Lepisosteus oculatus: one gene and its partners. The protein of the gene in region 1 interacts with the protein of each later gene in a pairwise test. Links are inferred from orthologs where the notes say so. Each region holds a gene or a part of one and is shown in the gene's direction. Other genes may lie near its edges.

Region 1 (8,013 bases):
AAATGCAGGTTCTTCACCCAGCTGCTAAAATGGTAAGTACAGTATTGTCAAAAGATGACTTGATGTACTTTAATTGGTTGCTAAGAAGAACGTGTACATTAATGATTAATTCATTCTGTTAAAAATGTGGATTTAAGTATTTAGCTCAAAGCAACACCATTTTACAGAAATTTTAACCATCTTGAATACAACAATTGTATTTTTAACAGTAGTGTAAGTTTTCATGTAACATTTGAAAACACTCAAGAAATTTGGCAGTTAAATATTAATGCATAACAAAAAAACACAGATAATATGACCAAAACAGCCTTGATAGAGTTCCTTTTTCCGCTATGTGAAATTGTTTTTATCAAACTTCAACTGAACTTAGGCATTTGCTTTAGGGTGATCTAATCAGTTTTGGTAATATCACTTGCTTTATCGAATTGCTTCTGTTGCCTTCTAAGTTCATGGCCAGCAGTTAACCTAAACTCCTTTGCTTACTCCAGCTGGTGGAGCTCTCCAAAGCTCAGGACATTGAAGCTGGTGATGGGACAACTTCTGTTGTGGTGATTGCAGGTGCTCTTTTGGATGCTTGTGCTAAACTGCTTCAGAAAGGTAAAGAATTTCCATCTTGTTTGTTTGGAGTCAGTTATATTTTTTTAGTTTTCTAACCAGAATAAGTCAACTAGAATAAGTCCACAACCAGGAGAATACCCATTTGTACATTAAGGCATTTACTGGAGTAAATAATGTGATTAGGCTTGCATCAGAGTACAATAACATCCCACCCGGAATTTGATTCCACAGCTCTCTGATCCGCAGTTCAGAGCTCTAATCGCTAGTTTGCATTGCCACAGGTGTATGGTAAGTGTTGTCCATTTTTATTAATGTTGATTAATGTGATTTTGTTGTAGGAATCCATCCTACCATTATTTCGGAATCTTTCCAGAAAGCTGTGGAGAAGGGTGTTGAGGTTCTGACAGCCATGAGCCAGCCTGTGGAACTGAGTGACAGAGAGTCTTTGTTGAACAGTGCCACTACGTCACTGTGCTCCAAGGTAAATCATTTCAAAATCTTCTATGATAAAGGCATTATAAAATGTTTAGTCATCACATAATAGTTTCTACTAGGAATGCCCTTTTGAAGTGCAAGATGAAATGTAACTATTTTTATAGTTTAAATGACTGGTCATTTCAGTTGAATATCTTTTTTTGTTTTATCCCTGTCCAGGTTGTGTCCCAGTACTCCAGTCTGCTGGCACCAATGAGTGTTGATGCTGTGATGAAGGTGATTGATCCATCTACGGCCACGGGGGTTGACCTCCAGGACATTAAAATTGTGAAGAAATTGGGGTGAGTTGACAAGGTGCAGTAGCTGTGCTTTTGATGGGGAAATACATCTAGGGGTGTAACAAGAAATTGTCAGAATGGAAATTAACAAAGTTTTTATTCACAGGGGAACCATTGATGACTGTGAGTTGGTTGATGGACTTGTGCTTACGCAGAAAGTAGCAAACTCTGGTGTCTCTCGGGTTGAAAAGGCAAAGATTGGTCTTATTCAGTTCTGCTTATCTCCTCCAAAGACGGATGTAAGTTTAAAATTTTCACTTCTACAGTAATTGGCGTTGTGGAAGGACTATGTAGTTGTGAAGTCAGATGGTGTACTGACATTGACCTGTTTTTGTCTGCTAGATGGATAATCAGATTGTTGTGTCTGACTATGCCCAAATGGACAGAGTGCTACGTGAGGAGAGAGCTTATATCCTCAACTTGGTGAAGCAAATCAAAAAGGCTGGATGCAATGTGTTGCTCATTCAGAAATCTATTTTAAGGTAAAGTTCATATCCATTTGCAATATAAATCCATTTTGTATTATTCTTGTTATACTGCAGCTTTGTTCTGTTTTTTTCTTGTAAGTATTGTGAATTAAGTTTATTAATGATCATTTAAAATATAATTCCAGGGATGCACTGAGTGACTTGGCTCTTCATTTCCTAAACAAGATGAAGATAATGGTTGTTAAAGATATCGAAAGAGAAGATATTGAATTCATCTGCAAGGTAAAGAGATAAATTATATTTTATGTCAACATCTTGTTAGCATTTCTGAACTGAAAATGGTTAATTATGATCTAACTTTTGTCTGCTACAGTTATACTGTTTTCTTGTAAGGAATTCTTTACCACCATAGATATATTTTGTATTTGTGATTGCAGACTATTGGAAATAAACCTGTGGCCCACATAGACCAATTCACAGCAGATATGCTGGGCTCTGCAGAGCTGGCTGAAGAAGTGAGCTTGGATGGGTCTGGCAAGCTTGTCAAAGTAAGTCATTTGAATGTCAGCATAGTTTTTGAAGAAATGTGCTTTTTAGATGAAGCAAAGAGACTTAACATGATTTGTTATACAGATTACTGGCTGCGCAAGCCCCGGAAAAACTGTCACCATAGTGGTGCGTGGATCCAACAAGCTTGTGATTGAGGAAGCGGAGCGCTCCATCCACGATGCCCTCTGTGTGATCCGCTGCCTAGTGAAGAAAAGGTATTGCTACAATTTCAGTGTGGGTGCTTTCTACACCAAAGTAAGGTTGGAGTGCCCTAATTGAAAAAGGGTTTGTGTCACACGCCTTATTGACTGGCGAAGTTGTGAAGAACTTCATTTAAAATAAGTGACTTTTTAAAAAAAATACCCAGTGCAGTGTTGTTTAATAAAGGTCATATAAAAAAAAATGAAAGGGGAAAAATGTATCGACTAACAGCTAAATTACTGGTATGTGGCTTTGTATGGAATAAACTGCTTCTAGATTTACTACATCATATAAGCAGTTTTTAAAATTATTAATGAATTGTTTTACCTTGAGCATGAGCTCCTGAATGTTGGACCCTAACCTTACCCTGCCATCCCTTCACAGGGCCTTGATCGCTGGGGGAGGCGCTCCAGAGATTGAGCTGGCTCTGCGCCTGGCTGAATATGCCCGCACGCTGAGTGGCATGGAGGCCTACTGCGTCCGTGCTTTTGGCGATGCTCTGGAGGTCATTCCCTCCACGCTGGCAGAGAATGCCGGGCTCAACCCTATCTCCACTGTCACAGAGCTGAGGAATCGGCATGCGCAGGGAGAGAGGACAGCCGGCATCAATGTCCGAAAGGTAAGCTTCCTTCTTCAAGTGTAAGGGGACCGGGAAGAATAAGGGTTTTGCTGCAACTTTTCATCATGCAAAGGTGCCACAAAAATAACGCAAAAGATTTTGGTTCTAAATGTTGTTTACAATGTACTGAAGGAGTTTATTTTTGCACGTCAAAAGTTTTAGCAGGTCTGACTGAGGGAGTCCTCTGTTTTTTCCACAGGGTGGCATTTCCAACATCTTGGAGGAGCTGGTGGTGCAGCCATTGTTGGTGTCAATCAGCGCCCTGACTCTGGCCACTGAAACTGTGCGCAGTATTCTCAAGATTGACGACGTGGTAAGGGTCCTTATTACGAGAGCTGCTCTAACCAGTGCTGAAAGCTTGTTGGGGGATAAATGTGGGATGAAGACTCTAAATAAGAAAAGATAATTTGATGCACTTGTGATTCAGAAGGAAAATTCATTTTAACAGGCAAACTGGATGCCACATCCTAACTTGCTGATTGATGCCTTTCTAACTCCTGAATCGCCATCAGTACAGCACTTCTGCAGTGATTCTTTATAATGTAACTAGAAGCTGTATATTAGCTTTCAGTCATGCTAAGACCTATAGTTAAAAAAATCAGATATTTACTAAAGAGATGGATACATCTACTAAACACTTTTTCAGTAAGTTATAAACTTTTTGTTTTATAATTTAAACTGTGTTAAATATTTATTTGTGTGTTTTGTTTATGGTGCACTGATCACAGGTTTCTGACAAATAGCCAGTTTCGTTTTGTCCATATTGAATATTTAAGCAGATGACTTCTGTAATGGAAATACTCTGTAATGTGATTGATATTTAATTTTACTGTGAAGTTGTTGAGATTTCTTAAAATAGTTACTTCAAGACATTGCTTGTAGTTAACTTGGATAAAGTGCAGTAAAATATTGTTGATGACTTTAAGATTATAGTATAAACTTAAATCAGTTAAAGGTTTTTTTAAGATCTGTATTAGATTGTGCAGAGTATTTAAACACTATGTTATAAGTAAAATCTCAAACTGAAATATTCTTTTTCAGCTGAACACTCGGTGAAGTCCTCTTCTGTGGATTCAAGAAAGGTCAAAACGTCCTGGCCCTTCGTACAGACAAGGCCTTGATTTAATGTAGTGAGCCTGCAGACCAATGTCACATATGTAGTCTGTTAATCTGTACTTGTTAACTAATTTAATAAATCTTTTGAGATCAAAATGTTTGCCTTTTTTTAGCAAAAACATTATTTGGTTGCAGCTTTTGATTACCAGTGTGGTATCCGTTTGATTTTAAAATGGTGGACCTTTGTCTTAATTTGCGTTGTATTAAAACATGTTTGATCTTGCATTATTCTTCATTTAAGCTTTACATGAGCATAACACATTGGTTTAAATGTTTCATCCATGTCCACACATAAAAGAAACTTAGATTCATTGGTAAAAGTAAGCTTTTTACAGATTGCCATTTCTCAAATTGCCTCTTGGACTGTCAGGGGATCAAGAGCAATTAAAACAGCTCATCTGTTTGTTTGAAAAACACCTTGAGATGTTTTTCCAAAAATTGAATTGTAAAAGACCACTGGGGAAAAAAGTTATTGGAATATCTGCAGTGGAGACAATGCATGAGTAGGTATAGTCTACAATATTAGCTGTTTTTGTAGAAAGGTCATTAACTTAAATTTCCAGAGCAGCACCTCCTCCAGGCTTATGGATTAACACTTGCGCTGTCACTTAGACTTTTTTAAATCTTTAAATCTTATTGAACAGCTTTGTCAAATAGAATGAATCTGAAGGACTTTCCATGCTCCAAACCATTTTAGCTGCAATACGTGTAAGGGCATTACACTTTATATAGAGCGCTTAACTAACTGGTTACACCGCATTCTCTGTTCAGAACAGAAACATGATTTCGTGTAGTGGGTCCAATTAAAGAGTGTGCTTTATTATTATAGTTGGAGTTAATTCAAGGTTGCCAAATGTGAAAATGCTGAGCTGTACACGGGACTGGTGGAAACGCCGTACCTTAAGCGATTAGAGGAGTTTTGGCCCAGCGGCTGCCCCGTAGAGTTAACTGTAACCAGGGTTGCAACGCGGTTAGCATCAAACAGTAGGATTAGGAGTTACGGGCGTGTAGGACGTCAAAGCACTGGGAAGTAGCCTGAATTTCTGAAAACCGAAAGCGAGTCAAGTGCAAGACAATGGAGAACTCGCACCGTGTCAACGTCCTGGTAACTTCGTGTCTCAAAACCCCCGTGAACCCTCTTACCAAAGCACCAGTTGCTCTGTTTGAGAGGGAGAGCGCTGCTACACGGGGCGAGAGGTCCTTACCGGCGGAGCAGACCCGTACCCGAGATTATGAGGAAGAGGTAAGAGTACCGAAATTAAACATAGAATTGGCAAGAGAAATCCTGTTCCTGTGACCGTTTCACTGTAGCGCTGAAAATGTTTAATGAGTATCTCTAGATTATTTTTATATTTCTTTCTGGTTTGGGCATCGGCACTTTACCGTCGCCAGTCAAGCTAAGACTGGTAGTGAATGGTAGACTGGTAGGCTCCAGACAGTCTTGCAATTACCTTGAGCCTCAAATATTTTATTCCTCATTTCCACACCTTCGTTGTAACCATTACAGAGGAACTGTTTAAGAAAACGTTTCCTAAAGTATAGAAGACAAAGGGCCCGAAATAATAAACTTAAAACGAAGGTTTTTCTTTTCGCGTTGTTAGAATTCCACCAAAAGCTAGACTATTAATTATTTAAGAGGATTGGAGTTAAACACCCTTTCTGGAAAGAAAGCTTCTGCGATTTGTAACTATTCTAGGATGCAGATGAGACACTAACGTTTAATGGATTACAGGGGAGAAAAGTGTGGCTCTTTAATCTGTATTGTACAGAGCCACTCGAACAGCGGACAGGTACAGTGGGATACTCATTTTTCACCCTTTGTCTGCACGCTGAGGTGAGGCAAATATTTATACAGTATTTAAATGGACCAAATGTTTTAGTGGATGATTATATTTGTCATTAGAAATATTAATATGTAACTGTTTATGGCGAGGTATTGTTAAAATTTCATAGCATTTTCCCTTAGGGGGATTTTAATTTGTGCAGATAAATCACTTGTGGTATATTGCATACTTGGGTAGTCCCTTGCGACCCTAAATTGGAAGAATGGGTTAGAAGATGAATGCTTGTGACTTTCTCAGACATTCCTCTGAACACCCGAAGGAACCAATGTGTCTTGAGTTGTGAGCATCGGTGTAATGGAATAAAAAAATATATATTTTTGGCATATTGATACCTGTAACCTATTTAGTATCTTTCTTTACTTTCTGTCTTGGCTGTTCAGTATCTTGGTCATTATAGAAGATGAGCTTGTGTTAAGAATACACATGTACCTTTTATCACTGTTGCTACAAACATCTTCGCACTGCTGAGTGCCATATGGTCACTTCAACTAATGAGCTTTGTGCTCTAATGCTGAGAGGATATGGTATTCAGAGAGTGGTTTGCTCTTTTATAATATTTCCTTAGGTTAAAGTATGTGTCTTCTAGTTCAAACCTGATGTTCACCATATTGTTTGTGAATGACGAATTAAATATGAAAGGAGACCTGCTGTTTAAAGGTTACATTGTAAAACAACAAAGTTAAACTTAAACCTGTGTTTGTAAGTTCATTATGTAAAATATAATGGTTTATCAGTGATGAAGATTTTGTATTTTCAGTGGAGCCTCCAGTATGATGGTTAAATAAATGCAAAATAAAGTGTATTTCATACATATTTAAATCTTCATCACAGCGCTTAATATCCTGCCTGCAGTGTAGTTGAGCTGAAGCATAATTTCATCTGTTGCTTTAGGCTTTGCTCTTATTTGATTAATGTTAATACAATTAAAACTGGTTCAAAAATTGTTCTTGGAAACCTCGACCTTGTCAGCATGCCATCATGCCATTTTAATTGAATTATTCTTGCTTTATTTTGTGTTGCAGAATGCATATGAGTCGGGCTTAGAGTGTGAGGGCAGGAAGGACAGTCCTGTGCTGATTAAGGACTACAGAATGGCTGGAGACTGTGTGGATCTCCAGGAATTTTACTTCTCCAATGAGGAATACTACAGAAAACTGGAGGAACTGAAGAAAGCCCATCTGCAGACCATGGCAGAACTGGAAAGGATGTATCGCAATAAGATGGAACTCAAAGGAGTGGCAGCTCCTGACAATGAGTGTGCAAACCCTGAGTTGTTCTGCAGGTTTGTCTTTCTTGGTGTCCCCAGTAACCTAAACACCCCCTAAAGTGAGACTAGAAGCCACATTGGATCTTAGATTTCTCATCAACTCACATCATCACTGCTGAGAACAAAGCGAATTTCGTAACAGAGTTTGTGGTCAATATATTCTTTAGAAAGATGCATCTACATAATACGAAGTATTGTAGTTATTCAGATTTTGTCTTGCCAGGCAGTAACTTATGGTAACAAATGTATTAACATTTTCATCACATTATTAAAGTTTAAATTTGCAGCTTAACCAGTGAGACCTATGTGTGTCTATATTCCAGACTACTAAATATGTAATATATTGAGTTGCAGTATCTCAAACCCTTACTTTACCTCAGATTTAAAGCTCTGACTTGTACTTGTTCTTTTTCCTAGATTGCAGAACAATAGTCCAAAGCCAACAAAAGCATTTCGAAAAGCCTTTTCTGCGAATGACCTGAATCATACTGTTTGTTCAAGTTTGTCAGATACATCAGATGAAGACGCAGCATACAATGAGGCAGGGGATGTTGAAAAGGGTCTGCTGTCATCTCCCAAGGAGCACATTAAAAACATGTGGGATGATTTTTCAGTGGATGATTATGTGTCCTGTAAGAGAATGCAGTCGAGTTCTTCT
Region 2 (7,161 bases), on another chromosome or scaffold:
AAAACTGGAACACCAATCTATGCAAAAATAAAGCTTCATAAATATAATATTTGTAAGTTGTGTCTTGAGCAGGTCATTTCTACAAACCATTTAACATTATTATTTTGTTTTCTACAACCACTGTGGAGGTGACACTTCATGTGAATTCAACTGTGTGATGTTTATAGGTCTCATTACCTTTTCCAACAGAGTGTTCCCATCCTTCGACACCCAGCCAGGCAGCCTGGACAGTCTTTGACTAGGAGACAGAAATATATTAGGGTTTACAGAGCATTGTAAATTATATAGTTGTATACAACAAACTGTCCCATTGACTTTCCCCCAAAAAACAATGTAACCTCAGCATTAACTTCTCAGTCCAGCTTCATAGGCTTTTCCTGTCTTTTGCTATTTAGAAAAAAGCTACATTTCTGGTGGGTGAAGAAACATGCGGAGGAAGTATTCTGGCTTTAATTTGCTTTTGAACTCTTTCTTCACACAGCTGTACAAGCTGAAACACCAGAATATATAAACTATTAATACAACTATCTGGGCTTCTAAAGCTTTTCTTCTTGCTATAAATAACAAATCTCTTAAGATCAACAAACAATCCATTCATTTAAGGCTCTCTGTTGGAATAAACATCTGATAAATAGGACAGACTAAAATAGAAGACAGTGATGTCTAGTCTTTCAAAAACATGTAAAAGTACAGGTGTGTCCTTATTTTAAATTCTTAAATCTTTAACAAATGTGCTTCACTTCAGAATAATTTCACTGAGAGGTAATACTTACAAATACTTTTTGCAAAATTTAGTAATTCAGACAGAATTACTAAATGATGATGACAAATACAGCATTTACTGTAGTTTAATATAATTAAGTCCTATCATTAACCATTGAGTTGTACCAATCATGGCCTCCTAATAAGCCCCATCTATGGATTGACTTCATTACTCTGTTCTCCTCCCCACTAATAGCAATGTGAGCGTTCTGGCGCACTATGGCTGCCGTCGCATCATCCAGGTGGACACATTGGTGGTGGTGGAGGGGAGTCCCCATTACCTCTAAAGTGCTATGAGAGGAGTGTCCGGAAAAGCACTATATAACTGTAAGATATATAACTGTAAGTTTTATACTGGCATAATGTTGGGATAAATCACAGCTAAAGAGTAATACATTAAAAATAATAGTTAATAAAAATGTTAGAATACAAAATATCAAGCTTTCATGTTTGCATAGTCCACCCTAATTCATCCAATTTAGGGTCACTGGAGTGAGAGCCTACCCTGGCAAGCAACAGGCACAGGGTGGGATAAATGCTGGATGGATCTCCAGTCCACGGCAGGACATACACACTCACACACTAGGGCTAATATTAACATATCAGTATGTCTTTGGACTAGAGCACCCAGGGAAAACCCATGTGAACACGGGGAGAACATTCAAACTCCACGCAGATAGCACCCAAGGAACTAAACCCAACGCCCCAGCACTGCGAGGTAGAAATTCTAATCACTGCACAATAATGCTGCCCTATTTTGTTATGCATTAATTAAATCACAAAAAAAATGTCAGAGAAATTATTATTATGTTCTACCTAATGCAAACTACCCAATCTCTCCTCTTTTTGTAAACCAATTATGTATGTGATTTGTTTATTGATAAATAAAAGAATTACATAACTACAATATTTCCATCGAGTGACTCCAAACCTGAGCTGTAATTAAATTTAAAATACAGCACTAGAGTGCAAATTACAGCTAATGACTAGTGCAATTGAGTGGTAGTGATTACAATTCTAAACATTAACAAGGAACATAAACAATTTTTAAAGGTCTTGTATTTATAACTTTCATTGTCACTGCCATTAAACAGACTTGATTTGTATTATATTACAATAAAGTAACATCAAGATTTGTGAACAAAATCAAGATCTATCATTACTTAACTAAACAAACAAATGTCTTTATGTGAAACCAAAAATTAGATACAGCTCATTTTACTTGAAACTAACAAAACTATGAGTTTTGACAATGAATGTTGGCCATTTCTTTTAGATTGTTTTTTTCTATACTTCTAACCAAATCTTTGTTCATTCAAGCTCCAGGTTTTTAAAATGTTGATTTCCAAATAAGCATTATAATTATTTTACAAATGCTGACTGTTTTATTTTTTCTCCACTATTTGGATGTCCAGTTGTTTGCGAGGAATTGTAAAGTCTACAAATAAAAAAAACAACTAGATCGCACGCTCCAACAAATCTTCAGGGTCTTTGTTTAGAGTGGTTTGATTTATATAAATATCGCCATAGGAGAAGTGGGCTTTTCAGCCAACCATCAGATCACATTTTATCCTCTCAATCTAACAGCTTTGTAAAATATCTTGGCTTTCCTGAAGAAATCCAACCCTCTTTACTTATTCTCCACAAACAATTCACAAAGGAAAAAGGGAGAACATGCTAGGTCAACTTTATATTTAAAAGATAACACTCACTCAATTTTGAGGATGTTTCTGGGAAATTAAAATTACATAGAACAAGAAGAATATGCCAAATTCCTTTGTAAAACATCACAACATCATCACTTTCAATAGTTGCCCGTCCAATTCAGGGTCACAGTGGCCCTTCCAGAGCCTATCCCTGGAAGCACTGAGCACAAAGCAGGCTACACTCTGGATGGGATGCCAACTCATTGCTGGGCACACACTCCCAGTAAGGCAAGTGTTACAGAAGCCAGTGAACCTACCAGCATGTCTTTGGACCACGGGATGAAGCCGGAGCACCCACAGGAAATCCACGCAAACACAAAAAATCATGTAAACTCCACACAGAGATCATGCCAGGAATTAAAACCCAGGACCCCTGCACTGGGAGGCAAACATGCTATATACTGTGTCACCATGCTGTTCTTTGAAAAACGTTTCACCAATAACATGTGTGAATTTTACTATGAAGACTGTATTTTTATTTTTTTTGTTGATGGTCTTACCTATGTACTAGAGGCAAAGGCAGGAAGTGCAGCGCTGATGTCATGTCAAGCCCACAGTCCAGCATGATGGTTGTAGATTTGAATTTGAGGACATTGCAGGGCAAGGTTGGATGACCAGACAAGCAGTACTACACAAATACAGGATAACACACATCATGTTTTTAAACCATGAGAGGCAATTGCATTTAAAAGTATTTATCAATAAGCTATGTCAGAAAAATGTTTTTTTTTTATGAGCTTCAATTCTTAAATTTAAATCCAACTACTGGGATATTCTTCCTTCTTTATTCACACGACGTTAGTGATGACATACATGATAAAGTTGATTTATTACAGTCCATCAGACAAACTGGAACAGACATCGAACCATTTACAATTGATTACGTAAAAGAAGAACATTTTTTTAAAGCGGTGAACAAATCTTTTCCTGTAAGTACAAAACAAAGTACAGAACAGTAAAATACTAAATTTGCTTGCAAAACATCATGACGTTGAACTGTACTTATTTTCATCGTTCAGCAACACTGTGCTATATAAAAATAATTACTTGCAGACGTGAAGCGCTTTATGAAAGGGACCGACTCCATCTATTAAAGTGCAGCAATTTGATTACACACAATAGATAATGTGAAGAAGTACGAAACTGCTTTGTCATCTGAATTAAAACAATTGCAGAAAGGCCAGATTTAAAATAAACCAAAACTGAATTAAACCAGGACACTAAGCTTAATACGTCAGGTTTTGCGTGCACTAGTCTTTTCCTTAATGCATATACTGTACATTAGTAAAGTGGTAAACATTAGATTATTTCTATTCAACACGTGTCCAGCTTTTGTAAAATGTAACGTGAATTGTCCAAACGAACTTCAGTCACCTTTTCCTGCTAATAACATAAAAAACGTTCCAGTTTCTCTAAAGTTCCCTCATTCAACTGACCCATGCTTATTGCAGCCTGGACTTTGCAACAAGAAATGAAATAACTTAATTGTATACTCACTAGTTTCATCCTGAATTGTTATGTCAGATGACCTAGATGTACAGTATATATTTACAATCCCCACGCCAAATCTTTTGGATTTCAAGAGTCAAAGTTGATAGTTCACTTCAACATACTTCCTGTGGTCACCTCCTCTGGGAGATGTAGTTTATTTTTTAATTTTCACTGCCGGGTAGCTAGAGCAAAGGGTGAAAAGGGAACAGAACGCAGAGCGACGTGTGACGAGTGTTTCTGTCGGCCGCTACTTTGTAGTCCCGCTGGGAGTAGGTCCATGACGTTAACGGGAATTGTAGTTCTCGGTGGAAGCCTGTCGCTTCAGATTGAGAGGGACTCGGTTTTATACTTTGTGAGAAACTACGGTTCCCGACGAACCTCATTCTGCTTTCTGATGTTGATGTCAATATGGCTGCTGTCAGACAGACAAAGGCAAGTCAGTCTAGTCTCTGACTGAAATCAAATTAGAAGGAAAAGGACAGCAAGGGTTTCAAAAAATAACTCGTGTATGTTTTGTTTCGGTGCTAAATTCGCGGGATCACTCTAGGAATTTATTTGTATTCCTGTTATTAAATGGTGTGGTGGACGGAGGCCCAAGATAAACTGATAAAGGTAAGAATTATGTGTCAATATGCAGCGTCTGGATTAGTTTACACTGTTCGAATGATATACAGGTCGAATTTTGATCAGGTGTATTTCAGTTTTAATGAAACGTGTATTGGTTGCTTGTGTACACTGACTCCGATCTGAACATAAAGCCAGGTCTTTTGAAACTGCAAAAGTAAACATGATTAACTATCATAAGTGTTATCAGTGTTATGCTTAGTGGGGGAGTTATCTTCAGATTTTTGTTCGCACAGTATGTGCTTCTCAACACAGAATGTCCTTTGAGAATGCATTGTCAGCTAGATGTTCATCACGATGCCATGTCTATAAAATGCAAACTAATTCATATTTTGGGAAGAATAAGCGACCTGCATTTCTTCTGGATTATCAACTCGAAATGCAGTAGTCCTAAAATGATCCATAATTTACACATTTTTAAAGTGCAGCACGCTAGGTGTTGCAGTGGGTGGATGGTGTTTCTTACTCCAGCAGCCGTAAACATTGTACCCTGGGACGTGTGTTTATTTTGGTGGTGCAAGTATGTGGTAGCTTTTGGGCGGTGTGGGCGTTTTGGTGGTCTTGAAGTATAATGACGTAACTCATTTCTGAATGTGTGACGTCTGACCGAGCGGAGGTGTATGACCTGTAGTAGCAAATACTAACTCCCTAACGATTATCATTCATGTTCATCATCGTCCTAATAGTGTCAAGTATATTTAGTCTGACCTTGTTTATTGAATCAACACATTCTTTCTCAGTAATATATGTTCAAATTAATTGCTATAGATCAAGGGAATATTGAGTGGGCTGTTCTACATAATGCATCGTTTAGATGCATCAAAAACAGAAGAAAATTAAAGTTGTCTGTTTGAAATGAATTGGAATGAATCAGTTTTTGACTCGTTTTGACTCTTACATATCATTGTGACCTTATGATAATTGCTCTGTACAGTACAAATTAGAAATAAATCTCAATGCATAGTGTGTACAGAATGGAGCAGTCATTGTACCTTTAGCAAACAATGTTGTGTTGTCTAAAATACAACAGTAAGTGAAGAATCCTTCACTGATAACTGCGAAATCCACAGTTCTGGACGTTTTGACATATGTGAGTGTTGCTAATTCTGTTTTGTTGTTTCTCTTTGTAGAACACTGTGAAAACTTTTTGTGTTCAATAATTTCCAGAGGTGTACTGGAGTTAGACTCTAAGATCAGAAAATAATGCAGTTAATGTTAGACCTGTTCAGAGATAAAGAGAATCGCACCATTTTACCTCAGTGTGGATTTGCATTTGTATCTTGAAGAAAAATCAGCATGTCTAGTCAGCCTTTCCTTTAAATGGCTGTCTGCCAAAGTGAGTCACGGGCCGTATGCTCCACTTGTAAACGTGAACTTCTACAGGTATCCAGGCTGTAACTTGCCCCCATTTGGAGAACAGGTGGTGGAAAAAGGGCATGTTTGAAGACACTAACCCACCTTGATCTGAAATTATGATATCACATCTGTCTTGACCAATTGTGTGGTGCCATTAACAAATTGGTGCTGCGTCACTTCCCAAACTGACTGGCAGCAGTGTGTGACTTACTTCTTTTAGGTGAACTGTCATTGCATTTTGTCATCGTTTACCCTCTGTGATCTGGTCTGTGTCCTGACTTGAATTTAACTAACATATCTTCAGATATCGATGGGCAATTTCATAGGCACTGTCTATGCTTACTTTAATGCTTGTTGGATCATGTCACAAATGGGTTTCATGGGATTATATTACTCTTTACCAAGGCCATAATAAAGAACTGTTCTCCTCAAAAATTACAGCATAGCGTTCTTTGCCGAAGTACATGGGTACTATTCTTAGCCAGCAGATCCCCTTACAGAAAATAAGGTGAACATTGCAAGACGTTACTTTAGTAGTTACAATACCATCAAAGCCTAAACTAGAATTCGTCAAGGCTTGGAAACTTCTTTGAAACTTGGGCTTTTAACCCAATAAATCTCAAAGCACTTTACATACAGGAGAAGACCCACTTCTTCTACCTGTGTAGCACAGTGCCCACCTAGGCAGCAATCATGTGCCAGCAGCTCCACTATACAGCAGTTCAGGGATTGAGTTGAGAAACAGCCTCACCAATTCAGTTTAGAGGAAAATTTAGGAAAGCCAGACTGTACGTGATCAAAGTCTACTTTAGACAACATTCCTACCTTTTCTAAAAATGTCATAGGATCTTTGGTTTTTGTCAGGACTTCTATTTCAAGTATCTGAATGTCAGCAAATCCTAGAGCACAGTTGTAACAGGTCCCCATACGGGGACATTGGTTTGGAAATTCTGGCCCAGAGGGAAAAGTGCGATCTATTCCTTCACCAATTCCACTTACAACAGCAGTCTGGTTTTCTTTGGGGTTTCCTATGAACAGGCTCAAACTGCATAGCTTCATATATCTGCCTAGAAGGCGACAATGCTGCTCCTTCAAGATAACAAGGGCCCTTACTTTATCAAATGGCATTATGTGAACATCCAGCCATAGAAGTCAAACCTTTGCTTTAAATTCCAGCAGTGGCACATGCATTACAACTCATTTTACAGACCCAACTGCTGTA
Region 3 (7,513 bases), on another chromosome or scaffold:
TGCAATACAGGTCTAATTTAAATATGTATTTTAACTGAAAAGGTTAAATATAAGTATGCATTATATGTTGAGGAGTTTTATATGTGTGTTTTATTAATCAAATGTTAGCGACCATTCAATGGAAAACTATGTTTACTTTTCTTGCTTTTCAGTTTAAGGTTATTGTTATTACTCTAAAATACAATTGAGAACAAAATTCTTAGATTTCTTTCAAGTCATTAAAATCAACTGACTTGCATTAATTCAGTATTAATATAAGTAAAAGTTTAGACCACTGTAGGTGATTTAGAATAACCTAACTAATCTACACATTCCTGTCTAATTGTTAAAAATAGATCAGACCCCTCAGATCATTGTATTGACAGAATATATACAATTGAATCTGATAGTTTTTGTATGGTATTGTAAGGTAGTTTTATTTATATTTGACTGACTGTATACAGTACATGTATAGAATCCACTGAATGTTTTACTGCACTGTATGTACTCTGTATTATATACGGTTTGTATATTGTCTCAGTGAAAATTTCCACCATATGTGGACAATAAATTCGATTAGAAATAGAAATAGAAATTAGAATAAGATTTTGATTCTGAAATAAAATACTTTGTCTAATGTAGAGACTTAAATAAGATATGTTGACTGGATGATTAAATTGCAGAACAATACAAAAATCAAGGTTCCAGTCGTACTTTTCATTTACTGATATACAGTACATTGTTTTAAGCCGTGTGTTATTCTATACAGGTGGTTACATGTTTCAGCTTCATATAGTTCTTTGTATTTACTGTACAGTACCTGCTTGAAGACCATGGATTTCAAAATTACAACACAAACAAAACACTGATTTTATGTGTATTTTTTATTTCTGATACAGAAGCAAAATACAAAAGGTTCCTAAATTATCAAATTACTTTTCCATATGGAGAAATACTTCTATTTGAAGAAACGTGCTGCACCACTACTAAAATTCTTTAAATTCAATTATATCCTGGACTGGTATCACGGTAGCACATTGGTTAGAATTGCTGCATCACAGCCCTGGGGCCTGAATTCAATTCCTGGGGTGGTATCTGTATGCATTATGTATATTCACTCCATGTTAACATGAGTTTCCTCTGTGTGCTCTGTTTTCCTCCCACAGTCCAATAGGAAAATTGGCCCAGGTGTGAGTGTGTGTGTTTGAGTCTGTGTGTGCACTGAGATGGACTGGCATCTCATTCAGGATGTATCCTGCCTTGCATCTCTTGCTTACAGTACCTGGGAAGGCTCTCTTGTGACCCTGTACGGGATAAAGTGGATAGAAAATGGAAGGATGAATGAATGGATATCCTGGATCCACATTCCGCCTGAGAGGAGCATGAATATCCAATTTCAAATAAAGACTCCAACAAAGTTAAAGGTTGAACAGCAATTCAATTCAGTTAATATTTTTTTCTAAACATCTGTAACATTATTTATGAGTTCACTCTTCCAACTAATAAAAAGAATAGAGATTTGTAATCGTCATTTTTTTTAAGAACAACCTTTCATGTGTTATCTATATTAATTCAATTATGGAAACAAAAAAGTTGAAAGCGCCGAAACAGCATTTAAAAATGTTTCCTTTATAAATTAATAAAATCCTCAGCATTGGTATGCTGCCATTAATATGCATATAAACCATGTTATATAGCTAAATTTCAGAAGTACGTAGAAGAGCTTGTGTCTTAAAGAACTTATTAAAATGCATTACCCCTGTATTACAATAATTTGTATGATTGATAACCTATGTTGTTCCTGTCATATGCATAAGCATATAAGCATGAAATAATATTCTGTTTCAGTGTAATTCCTTGCTATTTTATCTATGTAAAGTCAGTTTAATAACCAACAACATAGATTTTCTGATGATTTTCAGATTAAAGTACGTCACAAGAGTCTAGAAGGTTTCTGTGTGTACTGAAATATGTTATTTTTAGAGGGAATCATTTAACTAATTGTTTTTTTTATAATATTATATATAATCAATGATGTTTGGAAGATGTGGAGCTACCTGAAATGAGATATAAGTATGTATTTGATTGTATACAGTATGTGCACAAATGTTTGGATTTATTCACAAATGATTATTTATTCTCAGTAAATCTGCAGGTCAGACATAATCCAATAGTTGTGAAAAGCATTCTGTTTTATTATTAAAATGTTTGGTGTTGCTAATGACACATTTAGAAGAGTTGTGTTCCCTGGAAATGTACTGTTTGTAAACTAAGGAACTAATCTCTGTAGATTTTCTTTTTCAGAATAAAGGAGATCCCAAAACGTTTTTGTTTCAATCAAAATATTAGGTTAACATGGTTTTGCTGAATGTTGTCTAGTTAAAGGAGATGACATCAAAGTATCTGTGGGAACCTCAGTGTGAATTATGGATGTAATACGGTAAATGAGATTCTCTCAGCATTAGTTATGTCTCTGAATAATATTTAGATTAAATTAAAATAGCAAGGGTTTTGTTGTAGTTATGAGACTGCCTTTCAAAGGAACATAAACCAAAAACATTTACATTGATGCATGATTTTGTATGATTTAGGGGCTAGATGGTGGTGCAGTGCTTAGCATTACTTGCTCAATTATGGACCTACTGTAGGGTGCAATCTGAGTGGAGTTTGCATGTTCTCTCAGTTTTCACATGGGTTTCCTCTGGTGCTCTGGTTCCCTCCTTCAGTCCAAAATACCGTTAGGTTAGTTGGCCCAAGGTGTCTGTGCTTGTGTCTGTGTGTCTGCCCTATGAAGGACTGGTGTCCTGCCCAGGGTGGTCCCCATTGTTTGCCAGGATAGGCGTCGGCTCACAACGCTGAACTGAAAGAAGTGGTTAGAAAATGAATGGATGTATACTGTATATAAATAATGGTTTTGGTTACATAAGGCACTGCTCCTTCAAATGAAAGATGGATCAAATAATAGATGCAACCCAAAACAATTTAACAGATTGACTCTGTGTGAAAGGTACCTTGTTCATACTCTACTCATAATGACAAAAAGTTAACTACTGTAATGCAGATTTTTATCAAATGTTGTTTATCAACCGTTAGCTTTTGTTAAGCTACAGTACATCACCCTCTTAAATATGATAAAAACAATGATGAAAAAGGTGCTGGCATTAGATGTAAAAAGTATTGAAGATTACGGAATTAGGATTTTCAATAAGAAAGCAGTTGAAGGGTATTATAAAGAAGCCAAATGGCATAAATCAGTATCAAAGTTTGTGGTTTACTAAAGGCTTACATTATTTCTTTAGTAATTACAAAATATAAAATATAGTGTAACGCTTACAGCCGACAGGCACTGTGTAAGAGCTGGCGTACCAGAGCAGGTGACGTCACCGCCCTTCCCTGTGATAGCAGGACTACAGCTACTGGGCTGTAGAGAGATCTCTCTTTAGCTCACCGGGCTGGGTCCCTGCGGGGTGACGCGGGAGTCCTGGGTTCGAGCCCCCGACGGTGCGGTCCTAATGCGGCAAGGGCGCCCGCCTGAGCCCCCATTGCGTTACAATATAATGCAATCCAAAGTTTACATACAAAGCAAGGCCAAGGCATACTACCTCTAAGGCCAGAAAGATTATTTCAGAAATCCAAAGTCCTAATGACAGCTGAGGACAGGAAGATAAAACAGACTTTGGAATTAATATATGTGATACAATACTGGGAAACTAATTGAAAAATGAGCGGTCTATGTAACTGCAGACCTCACAAAATCTTTGCCTTAGAAAATGTAAAATAAATTAATCATAATTCAGTTTACTTTTGTTCTGGTTGGTGTATTTTATGATATATTCTATGTGAAAATGTTTACCATGTCTATATACAGTGTGTATACATTATACATATTTATAGCGTGTGTTCATGTGCAGTGCATACAAATACAATTTGCTATAGCTTGATAGTATTGCTATCAAACAACCCGACACAAATAAAGCAGACTGTGACTCAGAATGTAGTCCAGTGCCTAACACAAAATTCCAGCCTACTAGAATAAACCAGAAAATTTGATCTGATTAATTGAAACGAATGAAAGAAGAAACGTGAACACTGTACGCATGATTTTCTGTTAAGGAGGTTGAGTACGGAGAAGAGCCTAGGTGTGGTACAAAAACTCGCAAACTGTCTATGTGTAAATTTCGGATTGAAATAAGGCAATCAAAAGCAAAACAAATCCAAGACGACATTGAACAGGTCAAGCCCAGACTTAATATTGTACATACAATTGGGATGAAAGCGGTGAATCTTGCGGGTCTGCAACTTGAATTGGCAATTGTTTTAGTATTATTATGTGAGAGCCATATGCCAAGCTAAGTCTGCTTACTGTCAATGCGAGGGACAGCACCAGCCTTCTGCAGCCTACAATACGGTCAACATTTCGATTCAGCACCCTGGACAGCTCCCTGTGCCCCTGCATTTCAGACACCGCATAGCAGGATGTGGCTATCGATCGGTTACCATTGACAGATTCCCGCAGGAAGCAGAGGCAGTCAATGGATGAGCCTCGATCCTGAAAATTTTCACTCTTTCTACATCCCTCCCCTTTTCCTTAATACCTTATCCCTTTCAGAGATCCCTGGCGGTGACTGGAGAGTTAAAATACAGAAAACACGTAAGCAGCAACAGCCGCGTTCGGTAGGGGGAGATTGCCTTGCCAATACAAACAGCTATACAGGGCGCTTTCAACGTCAGGCGTCCGACTACATCGCATCCTTGTATCTCTGTAACTAACAGGAGCAGGTTGGATTTCTTATTAATACCAGGATTTTTGATTTCCTTCCTAATAGCTTTTAAGCAGGGGTGCTGGACTTCATACAGTCTGTTCAACGCTCTTTTTCATCTGCATTTGCTGCCACTACATATCCTTCGGGTCCTGCATCTTTCATCTTAGCTAGGTAGCTACCACTGTAGAAAACAACTGCAAAACCCAAAATGTTGGATCCGTCGTCCAGCGAAGAGGAATCAGACGAGATAGTGGAAGAGGAGAGCAAAGAGGTAATGGCACCTCCGGCCGGAGCTCGGCTTTCCCCAAGCCGGACCAGCGAGAGCTCCGGCGGGCTACAGCCCAGCAGTCGGAGCAGTAGCGTCCGCCCATCCAGCCCGAGTCCTTCGGTGGTAAGCGAGAAGGAGAAGGAGGAGATGGAAAAAATGCAGAAGGAGGAGGAGGAAAGAAAGAAGAAGCTGCAGCTATATGTCTTTGTGATGAGGTGCATTGCCTACCCGTTCAATGCAAAACAACCAACAGACATGGCGAGACGACAGCAAAAGGTAAGTGTATAAAAAAGGAAACCCATCTCAGCAAACAGAAGCGGGAGCGAAAAAAAGCTCTCCGTGGGGTGTATTTTGGAGGCTTCCAAACACTAAAAATAAAATTCCATTAATATCCATAAACCCCTTGTCCTCTTAAACACATCACCTATAAATTCTGAAAGCTCACTGTGTTTTTCATTTCTTCAAAATGCACCTAAGGCTGTAACATAGTCCACGGGTATCATAGCTACTGTACATAAAGCGCTATAGTGGACTATATAGTCGAAGAACTGGGACTGCAACACCATGCATATTTGAGAGATTGTAAACTGGATTTGCTCCGTGAAAAGGGCTTAGTGTTTCCTCTCACTGAAGGAACATACCACATAAACGCTCGGATGTCATGCAGTTACAAAACATAAAATACGTGTATTAATCTGTACAATATCATGTCTACAATGTTTTGCCGTGACTGAAAAATATTACATATCGGGTTCCTGCTAGGTTTAATCGACACGCTAAAAAATACCACAATAAAGTCGTGTCATTGTCATAGACCTTACCTAAGTCATGTGATTTAAAGATCTGAAGTCTGGCGCTGTGCATTATAGCTATGCAAAAGCGTGGAGACGACATTTAGGACAACGTGAAGAGAAACAGTTTTCCCGAGCCGTTCTCCTTTGTCCTTTGAGTAGCCGTTAGTTATTTCACAAGGTGGCTTCATAGCTCATACATTTATTAAACAAGAAACACTTATAAGGGGTTCAGATGATTAAGTTGCCGCCATTTATTTAAAAATAGATGTTTTGTTCGTTAAGATTAAAAAAAATATATTTCTAACGTCTTCACTTTATTAATGTTTTTGGTCGCTGGTGTTGATTGTGCCTAAATTAACTGCGAATTTTAAGTTAATAATGCCGAAAACAAATTTTCCTGAATAAATGGTGTATCGCAAATATAGTGGGCCCTAGGCGCTTCCTTATTAATATCATGAAATCTCACGTACCTTCTTTATAATGTAAGTTAATTTATTTTACAACTATCTAGTGCCCTGGTCCCGTTAGGTGGCGCCTGTTAAAGTGAGGAGCGCATGGTAGAATTTTGTCCTTGCTGTGAAAAGCGCAGGTCCTGCAAATGTATTAGAAATGGTATTAATATACTGTATGACATTCAACAACCTGAATAATAGAACGGCCCATTGTTGGATAAGAAATATCGTGTACCCATACCATGATATGTGTTGAGTTTCAAATATTGAACTATTCCTATATCCTAGTGCACAGGTCTTTGTATGTTGAGCTGAAGGCCGCTTTTTAATGGATCATTGCACTAGATGTTTCAAGACAGCATACAGTGTTGACTACTGCAGCGGAGTAATAGCTAAAAATAAAGTTATCCTTTTTTAAATTTATAAAATAAATATAATAAAAGTTCACAATAGTTGGTCCATGTTATTTGTATTGTGCATGTACAATTGTAAAAAAAAATCATAATCAAACTTGCACTGCAATATTTAAAATGTTATCTGTGTATGTTCAGTGGTGCAATGCTCCGTGCAGAGGATGAGGGCTTCTGTGAATATACTGTGTGTTACATACATTGAAAAGTCTCTTCGTTACTTCTTTAACAGTCAGTCTGGGAAATATCATTTTTTGGATCAATAATAATAAAGCAATTATTCCTTTCAAGCCCAGTCTGTTCATGGTTAAGCTGTCCTGTTTTTTTGTAACAGGACCATGCAATCATATTGTGCTGCTGTTATTCTCCTTTAAAACCAACAAAACAGTCACATCCAACTCACAAATCCCCATGCTAATAAAAAGAACACAGTTATTGTCAGAATTGACCCCTTTATGTATAGCACACAATGTATTTATATAATATACTGTACTGGGCATTCATTATGTGGATGTGGATTCACAATTCATTCATGGATATGCATTAGACTTCATCTACAGGAGCTAAAATTTTAAAAATACACAAGTCTGGAAATATTTTTTTTCTTTTACATTTAATTTGAAAGCTTTCCAATATCTTTTGATTTACAAATTGAGTTATTTAGGTTTTAGAGTAGTTATACTATACAGTAGGGGTCATCTTGATCACAGAGAATCTTTAATGGACAACACTTTTTAATGGGTGAATTTCAAACCATACTTTAAATTTGCTTAAACATACTGTGCCATATGTGTTGCTAATATTTAAAGAAGTTGTGTGACTTCTTTGAAATGCTGTCTTGAAACAA
Region 4 (7,858 bases), on another chromosome or scaffold:
GGGAGATAATCCACTAATCATGCTGCTAGTAAATGGTCACTTTGACCAAATCTGTTCTTCTCTAGTATGGTTACTGTGTCACAAATCTCATTTCTGATAATGTCATTGTTCACATTTCTTCATTTTAAAGAAGGCTCAATTTCCATATCTGAAGTTGCCAGTGAATCAATGTGTTCCCTCATTTTGTGTTCAATTTTGCACTGTTTATTACAGTACTCCCTGCAGCTGTGTCAATGCCACGCTTCTGTAAGAAGTTATACAATATGTCAACTTTGGGTATGAATAATAAGGCAAAAAAATCCAATTAATGCAGGAAATCAAGGTCATCCAAGTGTTTGGATAGACCATATGCTTCACTGACTGTTTTTCTGTCCAAGCCAGATTGCTCTCAACATTTTTCCATGCATTCCCTTAGGGCATCTAAATTCTCCCAAACAGCACTGTCAGTTCTGCCTTTAAAGTTCCAGTGTGTCCTGCTGGGCCTTGGAATTAATTTGCTGGTTGTTTTAGCAAGAACAGAATATTTTTTTCTGGAACAGAGAAAAAAGTAGCAAAAGCCAAAAGATCAGGAAAATGAGCTTTCCTTTTCCATGTTCATCATTGCTGCTGTTTCAAGATCAGTGAACAAAACATATGTGGGGATATGTTTTGTACCTAATGAATAGATTAGGTACTGGGGAATGTAGATTTTGTACCTAATGAATATTTCAACTTGTTATGGCAGCAGTATTGAACAATCAATTTGCTTCACACTTTCAGCGCTTGTAGCATAGGCATTAGTGCAGTGGACAGATGTACAGTGTATTTGTCATTATATAAAAAGTCCTAAAATCACAGTATTGTCGCTAACTTGGTCTTGGAGGAAATGTCTATTGTCTCCCGAAAAGCAAAAATAATGCTTTAGAGATGCTCCTTAACAATTTCCTGCCTACACACTTGAAACATACAACCTAAATGTCAATTCAAGGCTTAGGATGCTCCTTTAAAATAATTAGAGCTTTTAAATGATGTTGTCATTTTAATTAGGAGTCTCCATCGCACTTTGTTTTGAAAATATCCCAGAACACCCCCGGTGGTCTCTTATGTTCATTGTGTAGAAACAGTCCTTCGCCCAGACCAAGTTGTCCTGCTGGTTATATTGTGTTTAAGACTGTTAGCCTTGCAGCATCGCACACTGGTATAGGTGATACACACTCTCTTTGGTGTCAAATCCTGAGGAACCGGCTCCACTGGGATATGTCAAATGTGATGCTTTCCATAAACTGGCAGAAGGCAGCATTGCACTTTGTCAACCAAAAGAAACACAGATTCGTCCTGGTAAGGTCTGGCAATATCTGTGAATTATGGCATGAAGCAGGAATAGTAGAAATGAAATCCAGACCCAACTACCCAAAAGCAAATGACTGTCCCCACCTAATCAGTTTGTACCTGCAGATTCCTTCTTTCTCTCCAGAGTTAAGATACAGGAGTTGTAATAATAGAAGCCAAAGAAGTCTTCGTAACCCTTCTAATTTAGTCTTGTCTTTAATTGCCATGTCTTTTAGTATTGCTTCAACTCAAGAAGCAATTGAGTGTGCTATTTTCTAGCTATTTATACAGAATGTTTTACGATTCCGGAATCCCCTACACTTTGGTCCTGCCCACATGCCTAAACAAGGTGGATCTTTACCCATTTAATTCTATGGAACTCAATGTATAACAACATAACTTACATAAATAACCACAACTTCTAAAACCAAAGAAAGATAAATGTAATTGCACCAAACCATATTCAATTGATTCCAGGGTAAATTCTGCTTTTGTCAGACTTCTGGAATGAGTGACATTCCATGCATTCTTTACATTCTTTACTGGTACCTGTAAAAACACATCAGTCTGCTTCTAACTGTGATTTTCAAATAGCAGTGGATGTGAGGGGTGATAAAGGGATGCATTGACAAATACTCTAGATTGGAATTTGTGGAGGAGCCAAGTTCACTGCTGTTATACACACAGTACGTAGAAATATGTGCAGGGACTACTATATTTACATATAATTAACATCTTTGTGCTGTGTATTGGTAATAATTGTTGAAGTTATCATTTTCTTTTTTAATAATGCATTAATGCAAATGATCAAATACTAAAGAAAGCCTTCAGCATAAATTTGTTTAAAATTGTCCATGTATTACCATGCATGTTTTGTATTAAAAAAGTAATAATGGTGAAAAACATACACATGATGGAACATAGAGTATGTAGCTAATGGAGTGACATACCAATCTTTTGTGGCTGTTTTAAAGCAATGCCCTCTTTTTCTGTGTCTATATCAGAATGTATAAAATGCTGTAAAACCTGTAACAGATTTATGTCTGATCAGGCTTTTTCACCATATCCACTGGGAGGTTTCTAATGGCAAGTGTCCAGCTGGTGAATTAGATGCACACTATTAATAATCACAGGCAACACATCTGCTGAGACAGTGCCATCCTTGTCTCCCCAATAAACTGAGTAATGATAGAAGCTAAAATGCAATACGTGAAATATGCATGAGGCCTTTTGTTTTCCTTGACATTTTATTTTACTATATACTTGGGATCAAATAAATACAATGCTCTAAGTATAACATCAAACCATCCATCAGCCAATGAAAAAACAAAACAGCCCGTTCAAAGTATGCATTTCCCATGGTCCTGTATACTCAAGTACAGTTATGCGATCACTTGAAATATAGATGTTAAAATATCCAAGTTATGAGCGAAGTGACATAAACACTTTTTGAGGTGTACATACATATATATGTATAGATATTGTACATGATTGTGTATTGCATGTGCTGCACTTGTACATAAAAATTGCTTAACTCCTTAAACTTAAATTACTTTCGTGATCACAGCACAAATGCTAGTGATGAAAGGAGGGGGTGTTTGTATGCACAATATATAATTAAAAATTATGTAGCCATGCTGAAAGTTGTATAACACATTGTGAGTATTGCTTTCAGCACAATGAGCAGGATATGTATTATTGTGCTTCTGTGAAACAAAACCATGAGTCATCACAAGTCAAACTTAATGAAAGTTACTGTATTCCCAGAACATATACTAACTATAAAAAACATCGAAAGTTACAGGTTGATTTAAGACATGGATAACCTGTGTGTGAGTTGTAAAATATGTTATTTAAAACAAAAAGATTTCTATGCAAATAATGCCACTGTTTTCCATTTTCAACTGTATATGATCACATCCACTACCAGCACATTTCAGCCAAGAGGAATGCACTTCATCCTCAGTAGAAGCCAGAACAAAGGGTGTTTATTTATTTATCATGATCTTTGTCTCAAAAATGCTGGTCTTGTGTTTCAGTAAGTGGTGGGCTTTTGATATGTGCAGCATATGCTAAATAACATCTTCTATAAGGAAAGCCCCCTAGAAATATAAATTAAACATCTATTTTTGCCTTACTGGTCTTCTTTACTAATAAAGAATGTGGGGGAACATTTTCGTTTGCTGTATTCTATTTGTTTTGTGCATCTTCTGTGACCAGTGCATTCCTTTTCATGCAGCAGCTGGTAGGTGTGAAAAAGCAGTCTTCTTCTATTTATAAAGAGGAGGCAGAGAGAAGGAAGTGAGAGGGCATGGGGCACTCTGCTGTTCTGAAACGACAGAGTCAGGAGTTAAGTCTGGTTAGAAAGCGCCAATCTTCTCCACTCCTTTTGGTTCGTCCATTTACTTGAATAAAACAAATGAATTATGGAATAGGGAGGGGACTGGAAGAAAACAATGAGCAAGAGCCCTTTGTGTGAGAACTAATTTTAATACTTTTTTTCTCATGTTTTAATGTTCTGATGTTCTTCTATCAGAAAGTCACAGCCTGTATTTCGGGACATTTTTAATGAAGCACTTCCCAGAAATCCATGCACTCCCAGTTAAAAGCACAACTGAAGTCCCATCTTTCCCACAACCATACTGCAGTTATTGTCACTTTGTGGATGCACCAGAGGGCTTTAAGGCCGTTATATTATCCTGGTAAATTGGGAAAAGAAAGGAAAATAGAACACAACGAGGTGTGGAGAGCTTAACCTTTGACCTCCATCTATTCAGAAAGGATGTTCATGACTAATTACAGTAATTTAGAGTGATAGGTCCCTCAAGGCAGGGGGAAAGGCTGGGGTCAGTGAAATGACTAGGGGTGTCAATATGGTCAGGTAATGGTAAATTATTTAAATGAAACAGGAAACAGTAGTATTAGTAATCTGAGTGCTTTATGGTATAAAGATTGATTTCAAACATATTGTTTCTTATTAAATAACTTCTGGCCATGTAAGAATATAACAGCTAAAAACACACCCCAGACAAAGCCATAAAATAAAGGCTTGCATCTTAAACAATTGATTGACATTTTCATCTTTTTCAACCCTTCCTGTCTTCAGTCTCATGTGGGCACATTTCTCTTTGACAAAGAAACGTCAGTATAGTCTTTAATTATTCACGCACGATGGTTAGAGGCTGGTACAGTATATGGAAAAATGTGGGCATAATTTTAAAAAAGCCCTTTTGGCTCCGACCATACAGTACATCTCCAATGGCTGCATGAATGTGAGACTGTGAGGCAGATTTTAGGAAGGAAATAAACATTTTAGTCGATTTTAGTAAGAAAATAAAAAAAAAGGTTACAAACAAAATCAGGCCATTAGGCCCATCTAACTCAATTGGTTACTAGTAGTCAATTGGGGGCAGTTTACCTGACTTCACTTGATTTTGGAGGGGGTATTCCCGTATTTAATTCCGGGGATAACCTCAGAGGGCGCTGCAGTTTGGAAGTGGATACTTCCCAGCGCGCAGTGCACGTTGGGAACGTCACGCAGTGATTTATTGGAGAACAGGAAACTGGAGATAACGAGAGCCGAGGCTCCAGCACGGAAAGGGAGAGAAGTAGTTCTGACAGAAGAGGACGACCAAACCGGGGTTGAACCCTGTTACATTAACGGGCGCTGGATGACTTCGGCCTCGGGCATCCCGGAAACAAAGGAATCCGGGACATCTGTATTTCCGAACTGAGGATAAATTGGGATTTTTATCGACTAAGGAGTTTCAAGTATCCCCTCTGCTTCTCACTGCTCCTCGGATCCCTTGGAAAAGGAGTCTGCTTTTCTTCTGGGCTGGTGACGCGGCTGAAAGGAGAGACCCTCGACAACAGAGAAGCAGCGAAGAGGAAATACTGTACCAATTCGATGTTTTCTGTCCGGCGTCCTCCTAGCTGTTTGCGATGGCTCCCTGGTTAATAGAAACTGGATTATAACGCGTTGCGGGCCCGATCGCTGGTTGCAGCTAAAGAAGATAAAAATTGCAGGATTGCCTTAGTTTACATCTGTTTTCCAGGAGCGTTTGATATTATTATCCCACTAACACTGTGGGTATTTGTAGGAGGTTATTATGATTGGCTGTGATCGTTATATTTTACCTTAATAAGGTAACTTAGTTGTTTTTTAGCGCTCGTAGTTCTTAAAATACATCATTAATTCAGGAAGTCACGGGAATCCAAGTCTCTTTCGCTCTTTCGGGCCTTTGGGATTTTCTTTTTTGCCATCTGGGTAGCTGTTTAATATTTTATTTTACGTCTTTGATGGATTTATTACTGTTGGATGGCTTGGAGGATACCTGATAGCACTTTAAATATTGTTTTTCGTTTTTTAAAAAGCTGCTAATAACAATAATCATAAAGGATTGTATTAACAAGCTCATACAAGAGGGGAAAGTGGAATTGACAGAAGATATTTCCTCCTCTCTGGCAAGGTAAACAGTGTTCTTTGTGTATTTATAAATATGGAGGGAGACAGCGGTTTCTTAACCCCCTCGTTTTCTATTGAAAAGTGTTCCTTTGTTTTAGCTAAGCATCCGACTGTAACGCCTGCACACTTGCAACAACAGAGGGTTACTTTTTCTAAGTTTTTTATTTATTTAAATTGTTTATGAATTTGCAAATACAGTGTCTGATGCAAGGTGAGTTAGCTTTCTTTATGTAAGGCTTCGAGATCACGCAGCTCCATTATCGTGCTGTACAAAGCCTTTAAATGAGCAGACACCTCTAAGAGGGCAGTGGAAAACTTAATTGCTTGGTTACCTACTGGGCCTCTGGCTCGCGAATGGAACTAATCAATACACACACACAGTGCGTCACTGGCGCACAGTAAACTGTTGAATAAGCGCTTTTCACAAAACTGTTACAGCTTTTCCTTCATTCTGTTACTCCAGACGAACACATCTGCTCTGACAGGTAGCCGCCTCCGCTTATTTTTATCATAAAGGGTGCAGAGCATCATTTTTAGACCGAATAATGTACCTATATAAAAAGACCCTCTCCGCTTTTTTTAAACGAGTTTAATATACAGTAAAACTGGTTTCATTTGAATTCCATTTTTTACATTTAAATTGGTTTTCTTTCACAATAAAGGCCAATACTTTATAAAAACGAAATTAGAATAGGAGAATTGGCAGCTTAGTTCTATCCAGCGTATGCTGTACCAATACTGCACAGGAAGGATCTTGGTTGTTTTTCAGGGGGTTGGAATTCGTAAACATTGAGTCTGCTCGAGCTGAAAATATTTCCCTGTGGTGACACATTGTGAGTTTATGAAGAGAAGACCAACGTGATTATTTAAATTCTGCGCTCAATTTATTTTCTTCCCAGTAGAAGAACCAAATATTTTAAGTCAGAGGGTTTTTTCCTGTTTATTACTCTGATGTCCTTTCTGATGATTTATTTGTAAGACATAAACTTCATTTTGAGCAACCAATAGACAGAAGTATGTATCTCTTTAAAGCGTGTGTCCTAAGTGAATGATCATGAATTATCCCAGTACATTAAGCTTGAAAGCCTGCATTTCTAAGTCACTCCAGGCATTCTTTATGCAGTCAGTAATGCATTTAAGATAATTTCCAGGACCACAGATCTTCCACATTATCAGTTTAAATGGATACAGCACTCTGTGTCAATGGAAAACTAAAAAATAACTTATTGATAACAGATATTGAAGTGCCTAAAAAGTATTGTCCAGATAGATTGTCCTTTTTAATTTTCCTCACAAATTGATTGACATTTATGGGTGTACTTTGTTCCTGTCTGTGTGTCCTCAGACCTACCCGTTCAATAGCTAATAAGTAGATAATATTAACCTTTGCCCCACGCTGTGTATCTTTGTAATCAGAACATGTTTTCTGAATAAAAACACCCATACTCCTTAGTTAAGTACAATTAAACTGCAAATTGTTGAAAGAGCTGCTATCATTAAACCAATAGAAGAATGTTGACATGCAAGTAAGTGGGATTGACTCTTGTGTAAGTGCTATGTTGTAAAGGGATATTATTCTGATTTCTATTTTTGACAGTGCATTTGATAAACGAAAACTAAATGCCTTTAATATTAGGAGCTCTATATCTGATGGCCATAAACGTCTTCCTGAGGACAAATTGCCCAGTGTTGGACATTTGGTTGTAAGGAGCACTGAGCTGAACACAATGGTTTCTGACATGCAAGCCATAAAAAGCAAGTGCCTTTAGCACTGAATGAATGTCTTCAACTAGGGATTTTAAAAGGCATTGCTCTATTGTTTACTGTTTTTTTTTTATCCCACATTTTGTCTGGAGCTTGACTGGTAATTCCTGTAATGTATTGCAGAATGTCATAGATCTTGACCTGGTTGTGACATTTCCTGGGACTTAACTACAACAAAAACCCTGGAAAATAAAGTTGTAATAGTAAAAGGCGGTCAATCTGCAGAGCCTAGCTTTTCATTGTGCAGCGGTTGCTATGGCTTTTGTTTTTATCCTGGTGTCCTAAATTGTGCTTCGCTTCTGCAGAAACCTCAACAGAAGG

What was found.
Region 2: the proteins of fam161a (region 1) and hmbox1a interact in binary tests that used the Homo sapiens proteins (3 or more experiments, as listed by UniProt). The two-hybrid records come from large-scale screens. The link is inferred for Lepisosteus oculatus from reciprocal best matches to the Homo sapiens genes FAM161A and HMBOX1.
Region 3: the proteins of fam161a (region 1) and cadpsa interact in a two-hybrid assay, tested with the Homo sapiens proteins (2 studies listed by BioGRID). The two-hybrid records come from large-scale screens. The link is inferred for Lepisosteus oculatus from reciprocal best matches to the Homo sapiens genes FAM161A and CADPS.
Region 4: the proteins of fam161a (region 1) and liprin-alpha-1 interact in binary tests that used the Homo sapiens proteins (3 or more experiments, as listed by UniProt). The link is inferred for Lepisosteus oculatus from reciprocal best matches to the Homo sapiens genes FAM161A and PPFIA1.

What each region holds. Positions count from the first base shown.
Region 1 is NC_090712.1:9,715,939-9,723,951, forward strand, and holds the start of fam161a (protein FAM161A), read left to right. Parts: upstream 1-4,992; 5' UTR 4,993-5,319; coding exon 5,320-5,487; intron 5,488-7,110; coding exon 7,111-7,370; intron 7,371-7,772; coding exon 7,773-8,013. Other genes in the region: cct4 (T-complex protein 1 subunit delta), read left to right, coding at 1-32, 489-597, 897-1,039, 1,213-1,334, 1,438-1,570, 1,674-1,813, 1,945-2,041, 2,197-2,307 and 4 more. UniProt on the Homo sapiens protein: Involved in ciliogenesis.
Region 2 is NC_090697.1:60,387,314-60,394,474, reverse strand, and holds the start of hmbox1a (homeobox-containing protein 1a), read left to right. Parts: upstream 1-4,142; 5' UTR 4,143-4,571; intron 4,572-7,161. Other genes in the region: ints9 (integrator complex subunit 9), read right to left, coding at 178-238, 2,969-3,096, 3,966-3,974. UniProt on the Homo sapiens protein: Binds directly to 5'-TTAGGG-3' repeats in telomeric DNA. Associates with the telomerase complex at sites of active telomere processing and positively regulates telomere elongation.
Region 3 is NC_090699.1:48,655,220-48,662,732, reverse strand, and holds the start of cadpsa (calcium-dependent secretion activator 1), read left to right. Parts: upstream 1-4,511; 5' UTR 4,512-4,950; coding exon 4,951-5,286; intron 5,287-7,513.
Region 4 is NC_090716.1:5,712,665-5,720,522, forward strand, and holds the start of liprin-alpha-1, read left to right. Parts: upstream 1-4,846; 5' UTR 4,847-5,777; intron 5,778-7,858. UniProt on the Homo sapiens protein: May regulate the disassembly of focal adhesions. May localize receptor-like tyrosine phosphatases type 2A at specific sites on the plasma membrane, possibly regulating their interaction with the extracellular environment and their association with substrates.